2 linked regions of the Drosophila melanogaster genome follow. The protein of the gene in region 2 interacts with the protein of the main gene of each other region in a pairwise test. Each region holds a gene or a part of one and is shown on either strand. Other genes may lie near its edges.

Region 1 (10,414 bases), on a different chromosome or scaffold from region 2:
ACTCGAACATAGGTTGGTCAACAATCAGCCGGTCGAAGCTCAGACGAGAGAGGTCGATGGTTCTGAACTGACCATCCATGATCAGCTCGGATATGGCTCGGCCCACGGCCAGAGATTGCTGTACTCCGTGTCCGCTAAAACCGGTGGCTAGGTACAGATTGTTGTAGTACGGGTGAGCTCCTAAAATGCCGTTCTCGTCGTATACGTTATGATCATAGCAGCCCGCCCAGCTATCCACCACTTGGGCTTCTCCAAGAACGGGAATTCTATTATACAAATGGGGTCTGATGTGCTGGGCGAAATATTGCGGATCAATCATCGCGCTATTATACTCTTCCGTCGAATCTTGCACGCAAATATAGTTGCCGCCCAGGCCATCTCTGCGAATAAAGATGCCCGACGGATCTATTGTCATGGGCATATTCATTCCGGGTGCACTTTGGGCCTGCGAGTTGATGGCGTACATGTATCGCTTGCGTGCGTTGATGGGCAGCGGAACCCGAAGTATTCCTGGACCCACGCCTATCCTTGCTAATCGCGCGATTTGTTCGGAACTAGCACCGGCGCTTATTACACACAGGGCGAACTTGCAAGTGCGTCGCGTACCATCGGGCAGTTGGATGACCGCTTTTTCCAAGCCCGTGTAGGCACCCTCGTTGGAACCAAGATCTGTGACAACAGAAATGTCCGTTTGGGATTTGAACTCGAAGTCGACCACCTGGCCACTGATAAAATGGGCGCCGTAGCCACTGGCTGACCGTCGGAAATTGCTCAGAAGTGCCAACGGATTAAACCAGCCCTCTTTTTCCAGACCAAGACAGCCCAAAGCGATGCCCTTGGTGTTTAGCCAGGGGAATCTGGCAGTCAGTCGATCTGCAGTGAGAAGTTCATTTCGGGCACCCAGTTCGTTTTGTAGCTGAGAGGAGCGCTTCAGGCTTTCCGCGTGCTCCTCGCCAGCGAGCATCAGATGGCCATGGGGCGTAAACTGGAGAGGCACTTCCTCGCCAAAGTGTTTTCTTGCGCTTCGCAGGAAGTCTGCGGCAAATAGTGACATTTGGATGTTTTCGGGCAGGGAGAATTGCTGACAAAGACCGCCCACCGAAACACGCGTGGCTGACTGGGCATACTAGAAATATGTGGAAGGCAAATTAAATATTCGGGGTAGACTGGTACACATCATTTTACTACCGTGTCATCCTTCTCGACCACCACAACGTTAAGACCGTCGCGGGCCTTCTCCTTCAGCCAATAGGCGATGGAGCTGCCCACTCCACCGCCGCCAATGATGAGCACATCGCAATGGGTCTGGAAGTCATCCGGCACAGTGGCTTCCTTGCTCTTGTCGCGCTCCCCTGAAAAGTGAAACTGGCTCTGTGTCGGAATGGGAACTTTCTCGGTCTCCGGTTCCTTTGGTACAAAGAACTCCTTAACTTTGCGCATATCGTTCCCGAGCAAACGGAGTGTTCGTCGTATGGGGTGCAGGTCTTCGCCGGATTTGTCGCCCCCGGAAGATCCACTTCCATTGCTCGTTGCTCCGGCCGAGAAATTACGGCGCTGAAGGAGACCCACCACTTGTCTGTACCGCAACATTTTATTCTCTTTAATTTTAATTTAATTCATATTCCGTATTAATTTTTTATTTTGTGTTATTTTGTAATAGTAATAACGTGCGATGTTATCGGAGTATCGATATCGAAAAGGCTTAACGGAATTGTGGTAATGTTTTATTGCAATTTAAATAAAAATACGCTTTTACTGAGTGCGTAACTTAAGAAAAGGCTTAACGGAATTGTGGTAATGTTTTATTGCAATTTAAATAAAAATACGCTTTTACTGAGTGCGTAACTTAAGAAATTCCTAACCCAAATTAAAGCAATAGATACATTTACTGTAAAACATTAAAAATAAATTCCTATAACATATGAGACTGAAAGTTCGCTCAGTGTACCGTAAAACGTATCGATAAATTGAAACGTAACGGCTTAACAGCTCTGTTAACCAACTAAATTTACCAGCACTGCCTGTAGCCGAAAACGAATAAGAAGAAGAAGCGACATTACTAGGCATTTTTGATTGGGATTGAGAAAAACAAAAGAAAAGTCGGCTATATTTGTGACCCCAGTAAATTGAGAGTTCCATTACAAAATGACCAACGCAACGGACATCGGTGCTAACGACGTGGAGATGGAGGTGGATCCAACGGCGGAGACGCTGGCTGACGAGAAGAAGAACCAAGATGTGGCCGCCGTGCAGGAGATCCGCGAGCAGATTCGTCAGATTGAGAAGGGGGTAGCCTCGAAAGAGTCGCGGTGAGTAGTGCAAGAATTAAAATCTTGTCCCTTCCTTATTATGGCTCATTTCCGCCAACAGCTTCATCCTGCGCGTCCTTCGCAATTTGCCCAACACTCGTCGCAAGCTGAACGGCGTCGTCTTCCGGAATCTTGCACAGAGTATTTACCCCGCTGGTGCAGATCGTGAGGCGGCCGTGGCTTTGATGCCCGCTGTGGAGAAAGACGCCACCGAGCTGCCCGATGTTCCCAAAAAACAAGTTGCCACCAAGGCTCCAATCGCCGAGGTCGATGCCTACTTCTACCTGCTCCTGCTGGTCAAGCTCATCGACGCCAGTGATTTAAAGCGGGCCGGAATTAGCGCCGACGCCCTAATGGCCAAAATCTCCATCCAAAACCGACGCACCCTTGATCTGATTGGTGCCAAGTCCTACTTCTATTTTTCAAGAGTGGCGGAGCTAAAAAACTCACTGGAAGGCATACGCTCGTTCCTGCACGCTCGTCTGCGCACCGCTACGCTGCGTAATGATTTTGAAGGCCAGGCGGTGCTTATTAACTGTTTGCTCCGCAACTACTTGCACTATGCTTTGTACGACCAAGCCGACAAGCTGGTAAAGAAATCCGTCTACCCGGAATCGGCCAGCAACAATGAATGGGCGCGTTTCCTGTACTATCTAGGTCGGATTAAGGCCGCTAAGCTGGAGTACAGCGATGCCCACAAGCATCTGGTCCAGGCCCTGCGTAAGTCGCCGCAGCACGCTGCCATCGGCTTTCGTCAGACGGTTCAAAAGCTAATTATCGTTGTGGAGCTGCTTTTGGGCAACATCCCGGAGCGTGTGGTGTTCCGGCAAGCCGGTCTTCGCCAATCTCTTGGTGCCTACTTCCAGCTCACGCAGGCCGTGCGTCTGGGCAACTTGAAGCGCTTCGGCGACGTGGTATCCCAATACGGACCCAAGTTCCAACTGGACCACACATTCACCCTGATTATCCGGCTGCGCCACAATGTGATCAAGACGGCAATCCGCTCCATCGGACTATCGTACTCACGCATCTCGCCGCAAGACATTGCCAAGCGGCTAATGCTAGACTCCGCGGAGGATGCCGAGTTTATTGTATCGAAGGCTATACGGGACGGCGTGATTGAGGCTACGTTGGACCCAGCCCAGAATTTCATGCGCAGCAAGGAAAGTACGGACATCTACAGCACCCGGGAACCGCAGCTGGCCTTTCACGAGCGCATCTCGTTCTGCCTGAACCTGCACAACCAGAGCGTTAAGGCCATGCGCTATCCCCCAAAGTCCTACGGCAAGGATTTGGAGAGCGCCGAGGAGAGACGCGAGCGGGAGCAGCAGGACCTTGAGCTGGCCAAGGAGATGGCCGAGGATGATGAGGATGGTTTCTAAGCGGCTGATTCTGCAAATTAATTTGTGCTTGCATTCATTTTTATAGAAATATAATCCGCAATTAAATAAGTTACAATAATTTCGGAACTTTTTTAATTAGGTATTGGAAATCAAAAATAGTTCAGAACTGATCTTTCTTTTTATTCAAGCAAAAAGTTGTATGTTGTTGTTGGTAGACAATCAAAAATTTCAATTCGGTTAGAAATGGAAAAACATTTTAAAAATGTCACTCTTCTGGCAGCCTTGGCGCGTTAATTTAAAACGAAGTCTGGCAACATAGATTCATATTCTTCTTTAGATCTTTTCCCTCCAAAGCTATTTTATTAAAGATCCCTTAAGTACATTGGCAGGACTTTTCTCTGATTGATAGAGGTAATTTATGATATGTAAATTATAGATGGAAAAGATGCAAATATTATTTCAATTACTTTAAACACGACCTTCCACAAAAAGCACACTTTTTCTGACGAAGGTTTTGGTCGGCAGTATTAACGGTCACACTGGCGCAAACAACACAAACAGCAGCCACGGTCACACAAATCAAAGTGGAAAAAATTTTTAGACAAAAAGGTGCACACAATGCAAATTAATTAAAGGCCGTGCGTATTAAATGCCCTAATACGCGATCCTACGTACTGTATTTTGCTGCCGAAAAGTGCAACGCGCGCCTATCGGGGAGTTTCGCGGAAATTGCTGGGTTTTTTGTGACAGCGGCGAGTAGTCTCCTCCGAATAACAGCGGCCGAACAGCGAGCGTTTTGCGAAGCAGCGAGTGCCTGGCCAATGTGGTGCAGCCCCCCGCCACCCGCCGCCCGCGCACCCCCTACCCCGCTAACGCGCAAAATATACGCGACTAGTTGTAGTTGTGGGCAGCAGAGCAGCAGGAAAAGCAGCAGCAGCCGATCAGCTCTGCCTTTGTGAGCGGATTAGTGGCGAAGAAGCCAGCGAAAAGCCAATTAACAGTGCCCCGGGAAGCTGGGCCGGTGTCCACGAGCGGATCTCAGCCAGCCTTCGACAATTCCGGCTGTGATGCAGCAGCTGCTGCTGCCACCTAACGAGATTCTGGACGCCTTTTGCACCCACCACACGTAACTAGAGCACTCACACTGACGCGAGCACACACACACACTCACACACATTCGGAGACGGGCCAACTGGCGAACGGGCACACTATTAGGTGGCCATTGATGCAGTGCAGCCGCTTGCAGGGATTCGGGATCGGTAGGTGAAAAGGACTGGGACAAGCGTGGAGATGATTTGCAAACAGGACGTTCTGCAGTGGTTTGAGAAACTCGAGAGCTACAATCGGATCGAAACGATGTACGCCCTGCTCACCGCCTGCCTGCCATTCGAGCTGCGATTTTTGGGCACGCTCCTCGAGGAGCAGGGCCGTTGCGACTCGGAGACGCTGCGAGGCATGGAGCTGCGGGCGAATAACCCGCACGAGCTGGCCGCCGACATGGTGAACTGCCAGAAGGGCGATCCCACCGACCGGAAGATCCGGCGCAAGATGGCCCTGTATCTGGCGCTTATCCGTGCCTGCAATCGGAACTGCGTCAGTGAGATCTACCGCACGCTGGAATGCTGGGGCGAGTGCGATTTCAGTTGCATTAATGATCAGGACACGCTGTTGGAGCTGCTGCTGGTCTACACGATGGCAGCCATCCACCCGGTGTTCTCCATGGAGGAGCAAAAGAAGATTTTCGGCATTCTGGCTAAGATCAAGGAGAACAAGTTGGTAGCAGAGCGATTCGCGCCTCAAATGCAAAGACAGACACAGACGCCAGTGCTCCAGCATCCTCACCCGCCGTCCCCACATGACCTGGTCATTCAGCAGCAGCCACCACACGTGATCCACCAAATACCAGGACCGCAGCAGGCGCCCCCGCACCCGCAACATCCTCAAATGGTGCAGGTACTGCAGACGCCGCAGGGCAACATACCCATGATCTTTCCCCAGCACTTTCAAAAGGTAAATCTTTAAATAGAAAACCACTAAAAGTTTATTAACTTAATCTGTTCATCTACAGCTTCTGCCCAGCTCTGATGGAACGCACCAGATCAGTGTCGATGGCATGCCGCACCTGATGCAGCCTAACATCACCATTCCAGCGGACACTAGTGCCATCATCAGTCACCAGAACACGGGATGGACGATGCGTCACTACGTGCCACAACCGCCCCACCAACAGCCCGCTCTGCAGCAACAGCAGCCGCAGAGTCTGGACCATCAAGTGCCACCTGCCAGCTCGCCGATGCTGAGTCAGCAATCCTCGCCATCGAGTAGTCGCACCACGAGTCCTCAGCGGGACCGCTCCCTTATTAACGTTCCACTGCAGGCGCAGCAGCAACCACATCAGCAGCAGCAGATGAGGGGCATGTCCCAGCGAATGGCGGATCAGAAGAACACGCGGCGTCCCTCGGCGGAGACTACCCCGCCGCCAACCTCAATTGGCGGCGAGCAGCAGCACGATGTAATTATTAAACAACTAAATAATTTGTTTATTTATTTGAAGCAAACTCAAGATTTAAATTTAAAGGAAATTAACTAATATCAGCATTAGCATCCATTGTTTAGCTCGGCAATATTTAGTAGTCTCCATATAATCACCATAATCATATCGCTTATACGACAAATAACTTACCTTTACAGAGTGTCAACGAAGGCGGAAGCAGTAATTCCAGCGGAACCAGTCTGCACAGACTCATCCGCAACGGTTTTCCGCGTCTAGGACACAATCATCGAGTCAAGGCAAATACCTTCATACCACAGCACCAGCAACAACAGCAGCAGCATCACTTTCAGAACCCCAACTACAACATGAACGTTATGATGCAGAGTATGAATATAAACGACGATGGCAGTGGATCGATGATGAATTCCATGAACTCCACCAAAAGTGCAGCTACCACGGGTAGTGAATCGGGCAGCTCGAATGGATCCTGTGGTGACCTGTCGCCCTCTGAGACGCCAACGCCCACGCAGCTCTCACTGCCACTGCACAATTCGGTGGATGCGGGAATGGGCATGATCACGACAGTACTGCCCACCGGTCTGGGAAACTATCAGCCGAAGCCACACCACTTCAGCTACAAGCAGCAGCAGCAGCAAATGAATCTGCAGCAGCGGCTAAACGGACGCAATGGGATGGATAAGACCTATCAGCAGGTTTACACAACGGGCACGCCAAGCATCGTCAGCGATGCACAGACCATCAGCAGCGCCAGCCTGCAGCAGCAGCAGCCCCAGACCCTTCTCATCAGCCAGTCTCCGGTGAGCACACCCACGACAACGGTGCTCCTGCAGCCGCAACAACCGCCGCCCACAACCTACAACACAAGCTATCCATATCACCAGCGAGGACCCCCGCCGCCACAGCAGACGATATTCCAAGCGCATAGTGCGCCGCCTCCCCAGACGGTGCGTGGTGGCTTCCGTTATCCGATGGGTCCGCCACACAACGGTGAGCTTATTTACCCGACCTTCCACACCAGCCTGGCCTTCCTGCCAATGACAGCGGGAGGAACTCCTACCGCGGTAACGCCTGCCCAGCTCCAAAGCACAGCGGCCGTGGTCAGTACGAACGCGGTGAGCGTGCAGACGGTGCCGACGCCACAGCAGCAGCAAGTCCCCAGCACGACGCCGTACAGTGCCCTCACTGTCTGCCCCATCACGGGAGCGGGTGGTGGCGGAACCGCGCCGAAAGTGATCTCCTGCTACAACTGTGGATCGCAGACGCACAGCGGGCGAGAATGCCAGGAGGCGTCGATGGAGGATGTGACTCGAAGCGCTAGCTACAAACTGGACTACTCCGAGACGAGCATGGACTCAAGCGCCACGGGCGATCACCACAAGGACGTGGGCAGTGTGCAGATCAACTCAACGGCGACTGCGGGGACGGTGACCAGTACGGTGAAATAATACGGAGGGACCGTATATTAACGTACATATATGGAAATATTATTACTGCTATATTAATGATTATGCATAATCCTTACCTACTTATACGAATTACCATTTATTATGATTGTGTAGTGCGGAAATCAAATTTCTCGCCTTTGCCACGTCTCTTAGTTCCGTAAGCCTCTCAATTCGCGTTAATTCAATTCGAGGATCGGCAGGCGGCTGCGGTTGCGGCTAAGTCTTGACAACCCTTATCCGTAAATAAGAATGATTTAGGTGCGCCCTGCCATGCCCTGCCCTGCCACGCCCCTCCCACACACATAGTCGATAACGAATTTTAGTCATATGCCACTCTTAATATTTCTAACGTTAAGTTGAATGTACAACAGCAATAAGTAATAATCCTAATCCGCGTTCTGCGCTCCGCGTTTCCGTAAACTCACTCAACGGGCAGATATGTTACAAATGCCACGATCGAATTAAGCTAAAGAACCATTACGTAAGCCATTACGCGACCACGACGGGGGGCGTAACCATACCGTAACCTAACGTAACGAAACGGAATGAAACGAAACTGGGAGAGGGGATTGGAGTTGCCCAGGAAAACAGAACACACGTAGCATACGGATTAACTAGCAAATATATTAAAATTGATTATGTGTATAAACAAACGAGTGTAGCAGCACAGTGTGCATAGTTAACCGACTTCTGATTCCAACCGAGCCCTCTGATCTACTAACACCCTGTACTCTAGTTACTCCGCCATCTATTTATTTGCTGCTCCTTTGTTTAAACATGTATTTTTAGCAATGTTTTTTTTGTACTTTATATAAATACCAACATACTTATATACACACATATATATATATATATTACATTATATATATATATATTATTTTAAAGCAAACAATCGTATATGATACACTCTTATGTGGATAGGGCGTACGTTACTGCTAAGCACTCTGTCTAATGATTATTTTATGTACTCACAACTTGAACCCCGATGGGCAACTGTATATGAACTGTGTATGAACTGGTCAAGTTAGAGAAATAACCGTTAAGGTCACGCCAAAACCGCCCACGGTTGACCACAAAATACAATTGCCTGCCCTTAGTTTCTTATGTATAGACGTTGTTAAAATTTTGTAAAGTCAGCAGACGAACTGCAAGGTAATGAAAATAGAAGCAAATGATTTACATGAAATACACACTCTTCTGAGTTTGCTGCTAATGCGTAGGCATGACAAACAATTATTATATTTCATTGAAATAATAAAAACAAATTGTTTCTAAAATTCGAGTAACAAACACAAAGCTACAAGTCGAACTGTTTTACTCAGCTCCTGCACTTTGCCTTTTTATGTTTTCCTTTGATCTTCGACATTACCTCTTTCCAACAGGTGGCCATTTAAGAGAGCCCCTCGTGCTCTTTGATCGGATTGCTGAAACTCACCCTCTTTTCAATGACCAAGTCTTCTCTAGGCTTTAAAAGACTGCTGTACAGTGGGTGCTGTATAGCGCGAATGGAATATTTAATATTACAACTTTAAACTTTAAAGATCATATCCATTATTCATGGGGGAGTACATTTAAAAAAACTACAATTTAAATTGAAACTTTGTAATATCGCATATATTACTTTACTTTTAAAACTTACGAACTTTAAATTCACACAGAAAGGGTACCACTGTACTTCCACGTCTCGAGTGCAACTCGGATTTGGGCAATACGACAAGAAACCGAAAGACCGAGGATCCCTCAAGCGTGTCCGTCTTTCAGTAACGGCCCAGAGTCATCATAGCCGTAGTTATCGTGTTCGTCTTCAGTTGAGCGGTCGCTTTTATCGGGTGCGGATATCATATAGTAACATGTAGGAGTATTACCAAATTCAGACAGTTGCCTATTGCCACATCTCGGCAAGTCCCCTTTAAAGAACTAATAAGTGCAGGCAAAAGGTGATATGAATTAGTGACCGAGTGCAGTTAGGTTTTAGAAATAACAGTGTAGTGGATTATTACCCCACTAAAACAAATGAAATCCGCTGCGATCGCCACTCGATGGGTGTTCGTTGATGCATAGCGAAGTTGGAGTCTTTGCCAAGAGCTCGAAGTGAAATAAAAGAAACCCCCAAGAGGGCCGGAACAATGCTCAAAGCCACGAGGAAGCAAGCGGATCCGTACAAATCGAAGCTGAAAGTTAGTGCCAGCCACAGTGGACCGCATCCACTGCCCGTCGAGGTGACGGCGGCAGAGGAGGAGCAGGCCGCCACTTTTGGCCAGACATCCCCCCAGAAGCTCAGCCTGAAGGGCAGCCAACTGGGCGGCAGCATTTTGATTGGCAACTACAATGTGAGTTGACTCCACTCCGGCTGTCGGTATCCGACATCCGGCTTCCGGTACTCCATATCCGGCTGGCATGCCTGTACATCTTCCCCAATCGCCGTTTTCTCTTTTCGTCCGCAGTATTTGACCCAGCTGGAGGTATGCGAAAACGAAATGGAGGTCTTGGATCTCAGTTCGCTCGCTCAACTGGAGACGCTGAAGTGCAGCCGGAACAAGCTGATGGAACTGATCATAAATGGCACCAATTTGCAGACACTTGTCGCCGACCATAATTGTAAGGGGTTCTTATTGAATGTATTCCACATTCTGCATTTAAATCTTAAATAAAAACTTTATCTGTGGCGCCTACGTCTCTATAATCTATTGCTTAATCTTAATCTTTAAGCTTATATTGTAGAAGAAGTAGCGTTTATACGGACGGACGGAAATTGATCCTGAACTTTATAGGGTCTATTATTCTATTAAACTCTCATACTCT
Region 2 (9,567 bases):
GTTTTACGATTCCAAATGCTGTTTTTATTAACTAACTGGCTTTGGTCGTTGACAGCGGGGTAAGTGGTGGACTTAAGGGTGCTAAGCGTTTCTGGTTTCGTTTTGTTTGCTATTTATTATATAATTTGATTAGACGTTAAGTGTTTAAGTGTTTTTTTGGTTTTGTTGGGGTGGAATTGTCACCATTTTCGAGTCCTGATCTCCCCTTCCATGATTTACATTGTACACCCAATACAGGCCCTTCAAACTAGCCACAACATTTACCACAATAAATGGGACCTGATTAATAGCATTGTCCAGCGGCCTTGACCACAGCTAAAAAAGAAACCTATAAACCTTCATTTAAACGGCGGTCCTTGTACAATATATTTTTTTAAAGGTGAGCAGAAAGGAGTTTCGCCTTACCTGCATTTTTACCTCGCAAGGTTCGCTCTTCTCCGACAAAAGAGAAAAGAAAAAAAAAAAAAACAAAACTGCAGATCACTGCAAGTGCGGATCGTGTTTGGGTCCTTTGTGGAGTGTCCTTTGTCCAGCCACTGACTTTTCATTCATGAAAATAATACTCGAAAAAAAGAATGAAAAAGTTTCTTTTGTTTTGGTTTGAATTTTTGGACACTTGGCGGTGCGATACTTTGATATTTGTTTTCAATAGTTGAAGAACAACTAAAAATAATCATTAAGAAGGCAACTTTTTTTTTGCCTAGAAACATATTTCTCATAAATTTTTTTTATAGAGAAACTATACTGTATTTTATTAATTATTTTTTAGTTCTTCTATTTATCAAATAGTAATAATATGAAATAGTTTTGTAAAATTTTTTTCACGTTTATTCTAATGTAAGTCCGGAAGATTTCCTAAAAAACTTATCCCACTTTACCTAATACCCAAAAAAGGGTTTATTTTGCCATTTAACTGGGGAATATAAGAGCATCGTGATGTTTTTCTGATATCTAAACGTGTTTATATTTTTTAAATACATCGATATTATTTCTCACAATACCATCATTACCGTATAATTTAATTGCACAAAACCCATCCTATATCGAGTAACCCCAAGCATTTCCCGAGGCCTATTGACTCAGTAACACGCAGAGAAGCCAGACTCAACCTCAAAGCTCATTCGTAAATTATTCAGGGGTAAATAATAATTTTTCTGAGCGAATGCATGGGGCTATATAAAAATGCATGGTCTATAATGAAGTCATATTTGTTAAATCAACAAATATACAAAACAAGAAAGTGGATAAACAAACCCTTGGCTAAGTAGCAACAATGGCAACTAGAACAATCAGTCAAAATGCAAATGTCACAACCAATTAATGTCAATAAATGATTAACCCAATCCGCATTTATAAGGGTTTCGAATACCCACTATGGTGGTGGTTCAGTTTTCAGAATTTTTTTTGAAACACCCCTTTAATGGGCAAATCCGGTTTGATGTTCTCCCCGACTCTGTTAGTTTTGCGTTGTATCCATATCAAAAAATAAGGGGAAGTAAACATTTCGTTATGCTTTCATTTGTTCAGCGTTTAGGCGACTTTTGTTCACAATTAAAATGAAATTGTTCGCTTGAACGAAGCCGATGCTATCTTGGAGATAAGAAAATTTGAATATTTCCAAATCCGAAACATTTGTATTCTTTATAAGCCATAGACGAAGTCTAAGTCAATAGCACGATCCAATTGTGAATAAAAAGGAAACCCGAATCAATCGAGCGTGCAATAATCGCAGACAAAAAACGGAAGTGGCCAATGGAGAAAATCTCAAGTGGCCCAAACAATTGTTAAAAGGCGGTCAAAAGGAGCTCTCGCACGAGACCAACGCAACGCCCAAAGAGCAGAAATTCCAACAAAAATATTAACACAACAGCATCTGCTCCCGATTTCGCTATTGACCAGTGTCCAGATTCCTTTTTGTTTTTTTTTGCACAGCCCGCCAATTAAGCAGAAGCCAAATACTTAAAAACCTTAAAAAGTGGGCGAACATTCGGATCGCCTACGTAGAAGTCGGTCGACAATTAACAATTAACGTCAGCAATTGTGATCGGTTTTATAGCCACTTAACATACGATCAACTGGCAGAAGGGCGACAATGCCGCACCTCGGCACAATGCCATGAAAAGGACAATTATAGGTAAATCCCTAAAGTCAGTTAACAAATGATAAAACTGCCGCCATAATTCTGTGTAATGTAGCCCAAGAACAACATTTCGGCGACGTACTGTCTGGCTTAAATGTCCCGACCTGGCCCAAAATACACACAAACAAAGGCGCAACGTGCGTCGTGTCTTGGATTTGTCAAAGGACCAAACGACTGCATCCATGAATGGGATCGTCCTGAATGGATGATCCTTGCCGCATTGTTCGCCGTAGTTGCACAAGCAGAAGAATGCATCAATAAAATTACGCCAAGGCGAGGACTAGGACTCAAAGAAGAGATACATATACATATACCCAATGTGCTGGAGGGTCTGGTAAACGGGAGTTGTAGAAGTAAAGGTTCGATTCGAGATTTCGGCAGCCACCACTTCGGGCCATAAGTTGCCATGAAATTGGCATTAAACGGTTGGAGGGCTTGCAGTTTTCAATGGTTGTAAAATTAATCGATTCGATTGTGAAGGGTCACTGAAGAGGTTTTCTTGTAATGCAATAAATTACAAACAAGATACTGTGTAAATTTCGTTGGCTATTTAAAAGATCTTCCTATAAAAAGAATTACAATTGCGCTTGCTTGTAAGTAAAAACAGATGGTTATAATATTAATAATTTTTGCAAGAATGCTATGGATGCTATTTGTCTTTTTCTACACAACAAACACTTTAATATAATTTGATTTGTTTACCATAAAAATATAAATAATTCGTTAAAACCTAACAATGATGAAAAAAAGCCAATATGTAAAAGCCTGAAAATGAACGAACTGCTTATAAATACAATATCTGCTCATATGATAATATTGCTTATAATGACTTTTTTGATGCTTCTTCATAACTTAAAGTTTTATGAAGTTGCATTTGTTTATTTTTCAAACATAAGTTACTAGGCAAATTAAAAAAAAATATATATGCAAGCAATATATATGGATTTTCTAATAAAACTATTAATTAAAATTTGTATTTTTAATTAAATACATTTTTAACACTGTCTATAAAATAAGCTGCTTGATGATTTTATTGAAAGTTCGAAATACCAATAATGTAATTTGATCTAGCTTAGGCTGAACTAATTCAGTTCCGTTTAAAAAGCTTTTACGCACTCTCTTCAACTTTCAATTAAACTCGAGTGATAATACGAATTGGAAAGACTGATTCGTTCCACAGGGACACCAATACAGTCCCATCGCACACACCCAAGCCCACACACACACACATACATATGTATGGCAGGATGGCAAAGGAGGGTTCGCCATTGTCCTTTCGCACAGATACAGTGAATCATCGCTTACCTGCCATTTGCGGCATTGTGAGTGATCGAACAAGGGCGGAGCGTAAATGGCAACAGTTGTTGCTAAATGGTGACTAAATGGCCGAACACACTCGCTCAAACAACCCTCGAATTGGCCCTCAGGGGTGTGGAAGTGGCAAACCAACCCCCAGAACAGAGTCTCGAGGTATATAAGAACCGGGTGAGGGCGCAGCAGCCAGACAGTTTCGCACAGTCAGCGATCGTGTTCAGTAGCTCATCTCGAGATCAGTTGGAAAACGAAATACCCCAGAAACCCAAGATGTCGCGTTCATTTTTGATGGATTCCCTACTCAGCGATAGGCCCAATTTGAGCCAGAAGAAGGAGAAACTGGGATCGCCAGGAGGAAGTCCTACAGCCGCTGCTGCAGTGGCCGCAGCTGCCATGTTACCATCGATACCCATGCTTCCTTACCCGGCCAGCTATGTGGGCAGCTATCTCTTCTCCTTGGGCATCCAGCAGCAGCAGCAACAACAGCAGCAGCAGCAACAGCACGCAGCAGCTGCAGCAGCGGCCGCAGCAGCAGCAGCTGCCTTGCAGCAACATCCACATGTCAGTTCGAGTCCCGGTTCCCTTTACCATCCATACGCCCAGCTGTTCGCCAGCAAGAGGAAGTCCAGTGGATTCAGCAACTACGAAGGATGTTATCCATCGCCACCGCTCTCGGCCAATCCCAACTCCCAGCAATTGCCGCCAATACACAACCTCTACGGATCTCCAGTTGTGGGCGGATTACCCTTACCGGAACCTGGAAGCTTCTGCACATCACCGTCCGCTTCATCGTCCGCCTCTTTGGATTATACCAATAACTTTGATGAACCTCAAGGAAAGCGTTTCAAGCACGAGTCCTCCTGCTCTCCGAATAGCTCACCACTGAAGAACCACTCTTCGGGAGGTCCCGTCGAGATCACGCCGCTGATCAACGATTATGCCGATTCCAGCAAAAGGATCCGCACTGCCTTCACCAGCACCCAGTTGCTGGAGCTCGAGCGAGAATTCTCGCACAACGCCTACCTATCCCGCCTACGTCGCATCGAAATCGCCAATAGATTGCGCCTTTCCGAGAAGCAGGTGAAGATCTGGTTCCAGAATCGCCGAGTCAAGCAGAAAAAGGGCGGCTCCGAAAGTCCCACCTTCAATCTGTCCACCAACTCCAATGGAAGTCCGCAAGCATCTCCAGTGTCTCCCCAAGTCAAAGTCCACGAATTGAAGGTTGAGGCGTAGAATCAATCACCTATTAAACCATAAGAATAATGTAATTGTACAGTAGATTTTAGTCTGTTTTCAGTCATAAGTATGTTAAAGTAAATAAATTTTAATCAAAATGAAAAACGACGTTTTTGGGATAGATAAACCATAATAGAAAGCAATGATTTATTTATGCAAAGTGGGTTCACATCTAGCAGCTAAGTTGGCCCAAGATGGCTTTACTAAAAAATACTAAATAATTTTAAATTACGAACCAATTAAATGAATATAATAAATATATAGCAGCCCTGGAATATCCCTAAAAATACCAAACGCTAGTGTCGATATTTCGTTCCAAATTTGTGCTGTCAATCAAAACGAACAAAATTTTCATTCCCAAAAATTTAGTCGTTGTCGAGACTTTGCTGTAATCATGTCGAATCTGTACACCGAATTGAAGAACGAGTGGAGCAAACATGCGCCCAACCTCACCCACTGCTCCCGCCTCCTGGATGGCTTCAAACTGGAGCTGGTGAGGTCAAACTTTGGAACAATCCAAACTGCATCGAGTTCCAAGCAAAAGGATCAGCTAATCAAATCGCGGGAGATGCTGGAAATCGCCGTGGAACATAGCATCACCATCAAGGATTATGCTGCCTTCGAGAGATATATGGCCCAGTTAAATACCTACTACTATGATTACGATAAGTACTTGGAATCATCGAAGCACATGTACAAGTTCATGGGCCTAAATCTGCTCTATATGTTGGCTACCAATCGCCTTGCCGACTTCCACATCGAACTGGAACGTTTGCCGACGGCTTTGCTGCTCCATGATAGCTTCATCCAACCCGTTTTGGCTTTGGAGAACTACTACATGGAGGGCAGATACAACAAGATACTGCAAGCCAAGAAATCTATGCCCTCGGAGATCTATTCGAATTTTATGGACATCCTGGTGAACACGGCGCGTGAGGAGATCGCATCCTGCATGGAGAAATCCTATCTGAAGATGGCGCCCAAACTAGCTGCTCAGCGTTTAGGCCTTCGTCCCGGTTCCAAGGAGCTTTTCGAGCTGGCCACTAAGCGCCAGTGGTGTCTGGACGAGGAGGGGAACTACGACTATGCTGGACTTCATACCAGACCTATGGAGAAGGTTCCTGCCAAGGACATCGCCACGCATAATCTCACCTATGCCCAAGAGCTAGAGAAAATAGTTTGAATTTTCTCATTAGATCAATTCTTGCTTCTAATCCCCTCAACCGGAAAATAATATCCAGAATTTATACATTCGTCCAAAAATCAGTAAATAGCGAACCGGAAATTTGTCAGATTTAATTTTTCACACATCTCAATGGCTTCACTCGTTTATTTTTTGGCATAAAATGTGCAAAAATTGAGTTGCTCAGAGGGCCGCTAAGTCGACAGGCTTGACAAATTATGCGATTGGGAATGTTTTCCGGCGAAATCTCATTTGCAAATCTTTCATAGGATGATTGTTAGAGCTGCTTAGTGAGTGGCAGTCTAATATGATGGTTGTTAGGATAAGGATATGTGTTTCATAGGAAGGTAGTTAGGCCTAAAAATTTTTGTTCCCAAGGGATTTTAGGGTTCCTTTTGGGAAAAATAATCTATAAAATCACAGCTTTTAATATGTTCTTTTTGATGAAATTAAAGTATTTAATAAGTATTTAATTTTACAATTTTGTTTGGAATGTTATCGAAGTTAGGTATACAGAATGAAACCATTTATTAATTAGTTTCGCCAGAACATTGAATATATCCCCAGGCGAAATGTGTGGTCTGCCACCTATAAAGAACCGCAAATGATGACACCTCATCATTTTTGCTGAATCATCAAAACTTATAATTAATCAAGGACATTTTTCGCCTCTGGAGTGGGGAGAGTTTTTATCCATTTCCCACGACACTTCAAATTGCACAAACCGATGATGCCAACTTGGCCGATGCCTATCAGCCGAGATATGGCAGTGATTTGCCCAAAATCGAGATGGTTGACAAACCCAAAACGAATCATGCGCAACAAAACCAGACGGAGCCGACTCATTCAGCATTCATTGAACGGCGGACTGACAATTTCTCAATGGGTCCTCTAACTTGGAACCGAAACGAGGACTAACTCATCCTTTTGTGCGATCCCAAGGGGTGCGGTGCTAATAAACGCAATTGCACCTACGCCCCTCTGGGCCTTCGGTCCGAAAATGGAAATCGGAATGCCAATGGGCAAAATAGCCCAGTCGGCGGTTTTAAACGGAATTTCGGTATTCCATTCTCCTTGCTATTCTGGAAAATGTTGCACTCCGATTTACCTGATCTCATCCCGATCGTTATCTACCGGAGTTCCTTGCTCAAGTGTGCGCCTCTTCCACTTGAGCTGAAGAGCTCGGCTCTTGAGTTTCAAGTGCTGGGTCAGCAGGTAGGACTCGGTGACTCCATTCAGGATCAGCTATTTTTCCGCAAATTCATTCAAGGAGCGTAGCGAAATCTGTTGTGCCAAAATGTGTTGCGTGGGCTCTTCGATCTTTATCGCTAGGTTGATTTAAAGTGATTTTTTCAAAATCACAGATAGCATTCGCTACTATTCGAGTAAATGCTGAGACAGCATTTTGGAGACATGGGAACTAAGTTAATTGGTTGTAAGATTAGGCAAGGAAATACTCGATTGGCGGCACTGTCAATAAGAAACAATGTTTCGGTGTTTCAATTAAAGAAAAGTATAAAAAGGCAGTATTAACAAAGTATGTAGATTCTATTAGTATTAGTGGATTCTACAATTCTAATAGTACTGTTTTCATTGTGTAGGAAAGTATCTATATATATATATATTTGCAGTTATTTTATTTCATTTAGCCAATATTGTCTTAACTTAAAACTTTATTAACACGGTATTAACACGGTAGTGTTAACCCCTAAAAATTATTTCAATGCTGTGACTGTTTCCAAAAATTGTTTCCGTAAACAAATTTGCATACACCTCTTCTCCGTAGGATCCACTGTTGGAAGTACCTTTAGCCAGATGTCTTGCCAACTTTCGAGTGTCCCGCTGATTTCAAGATTCCTCGCTGTTTCGATCTCCCGCGTGGAAGACACTTCATGAATGAATACATCCTGAAGTGCAGAACCTCTTCAGTTTAAAGTGGAATCTTTCTTTTTGAATTGGCCTCATGAATGAATGCGCTGCACTGCCTGTGCATCAAGGCTGGGAAATTCCCTCAGGTTCTTTGGGCCTGTTAAAAGATCATTAGGCCAACGCTTCTGGCTAGAACAAATGAAATTCCGTTGAAAATTTCCCGCCTACCTGAAAGTAGAAGAAGAAATTTGTCAGGTGTTCAACTCTGGATTCTTGTCCAGACGTTCTGTCGCCAGGGCATATAAGTCCTTAAATTCCCTGTGGTGCAACGGTTGTGGTCTCAAGTGTTTAATTTAAATATTTTTCAATTTCTGTCCTGATGGAATTCTAAATCCAAATTCCAAACCAGGAAAATTCCCTTAAAGCTTTGAACGCTTTTCCTACAAAGCTTTCAGCACTTTCCACATTTAACTTTTTCAGATTATTAAGTTTGGATTATAACAAAACGTTTCCCGGAGCTTTGAAGCTTTTGAAGCTTTATTGGGGGACTCCTTTCAACACAATTTCAGGGTTAAACATTTGGGGGCCATTGGGTTTTCATGAGGAGGACAATAAAACAACTGCAGACTGAGGTAAATCTAAGCTCGCCGTCCAAAATCCTTTAAGCTTATGCAAATTAAAGCGTGCACCCAAAATAAATAAATTAACCTATATGCCAACGTGTTTGTATGTAGTCTGTGTGATTTTCTTGTTTGGTGGTCAAGCAAAGGTAAACATGAGTCCAAATGAGTTTTCACTTTTCCACATAATTGCGTTTTTTACTTTCTTCTTTTTAATTATGAGTCTCAGCGAAAAGGCTTCCGGTATCCTTGTTTTGACCTAGATTAAGCACATATTAATGGCAAATTTACCCTTAGAATCCTAGTAAAAACTGTCGATGTTCTCGGGTCACGCAATCGAGGTCTTTTCCCGTATACGCCGCGATATGTGGAACCAGCTAATTGACCCATTAAAGTGGCCGCTGAACATTGTTGCCCCTTTGAGTGCTTTTTAGGTCACAGGATGTGTGAAGCCGTAAAGTTGTCCGCACTTAAAGCGGTTATTTAAGCCCGTGAAGAAAATGAACCATTAACCATAAATTGTTTAATTACAATACAATTGTCTACATATATTACATATCCACTACTTCGATTAAACGAAAAAATAAGTTCGATTCGAGGTAAACAAGCCCCAGTTTTCAACTTACCATTTTATTAAAGTTTTCTAATTGTTTCGGAACTAAGTGTGCACTAGTTCAGTAATTTCCAAAGAATGCTAGTTTCCAATAATTATGTCGCCATAAAGATTTCAATTTGCAAAGCATCCCACAGTTTCTATCAGCTACCGGGGGAGCTATCTTCACCTCCCCGTAATCGGTGGCCCTCGAAGGATATCTGGTGCCAGCACGTCATCGTCCTTGGCCACACTGTGCATTGTATTTAATGAACTTGTTGGTAATCGTACTGGGCTCATCATCAGCACGTTGACTCGACCGGGAATACGACCTGGGTTCTGGGCTGTGGGATCTGTGTTCCAGGGGTCTGGAGCGGAACGATGGAGCAATTTCTGTGGCGCCCCACAGTCGTTGAGTGGCGCCTGTTTAAAATGAGTTTTGTCGCTTCGTTATGCAACTGACGACATACTAGGCATTGAAGAAAAACACACTTGGAAAAAAACGTTTTCAAAGAGAAAATTATAAGCAATAAATTTTTTAGGATATTTCACAAATATTTTGATTTTAGTAATTCTTTTCTTAGTATCCGCTTTAGTTGTCAAAGCTTTAAGT

What was found.
Region 1: the proteins of Rpn12R (region 2) and Rpn3 interact in a two-hybrid assay, tested with the Drosophila melanogaster proteins (one large-scale study listed by BioGRID).

The regions. Positions count from the first base shown.
Region 1 is NT_033779.5:19,049,909-19,060,322, forward strand, and holds Rpn3 (regulatory particle non-ATPase 3), read left to right. Parts: upstream 1-1,881; 5' UTR 1,882-2,145; coding exon 2,146-2,309; intron 2,310-2,370; coding exon 2,371-3,691; 3' UTR 3,692-3,773; downstream 3,774-10,414. Other genes in the region: l(2)37Bb (lethal (2) 37Bb), read right to left, coding at 1-1,126, 1,189-1,590; CG10492 (uncharacterized protein), read left to right, coding at 4,943-5,662, 5,721-6,164, 6,344-7,612; Phlpp (PH domain leucine-rich repeat protein phosphatase), read left to right, coding at 9,739-9,942, 10,057-10,210. UniProt on the Drosophila melanogaster protein: Acts as a regulatory subunit of the 26 proteasome which is involved in the ATP-dependent degradation of ubiquitinated proteins.
Region 2 is NT_037436.4:15,038,022-15,047,588, reverse strand, and holds Rpn12R (regulatory particle non-ATPase 12-related), read left to right. Parts: upstream 1-5,018; 5' UTR 5,019-5,084; coding exon 5,085-5,873; 3' UTR 5,874-5,958; downstream 5,959-9,567. Other genes in the region: ind (intermediate neuroblasts defective), read left to right, coding at 3,725-4,687.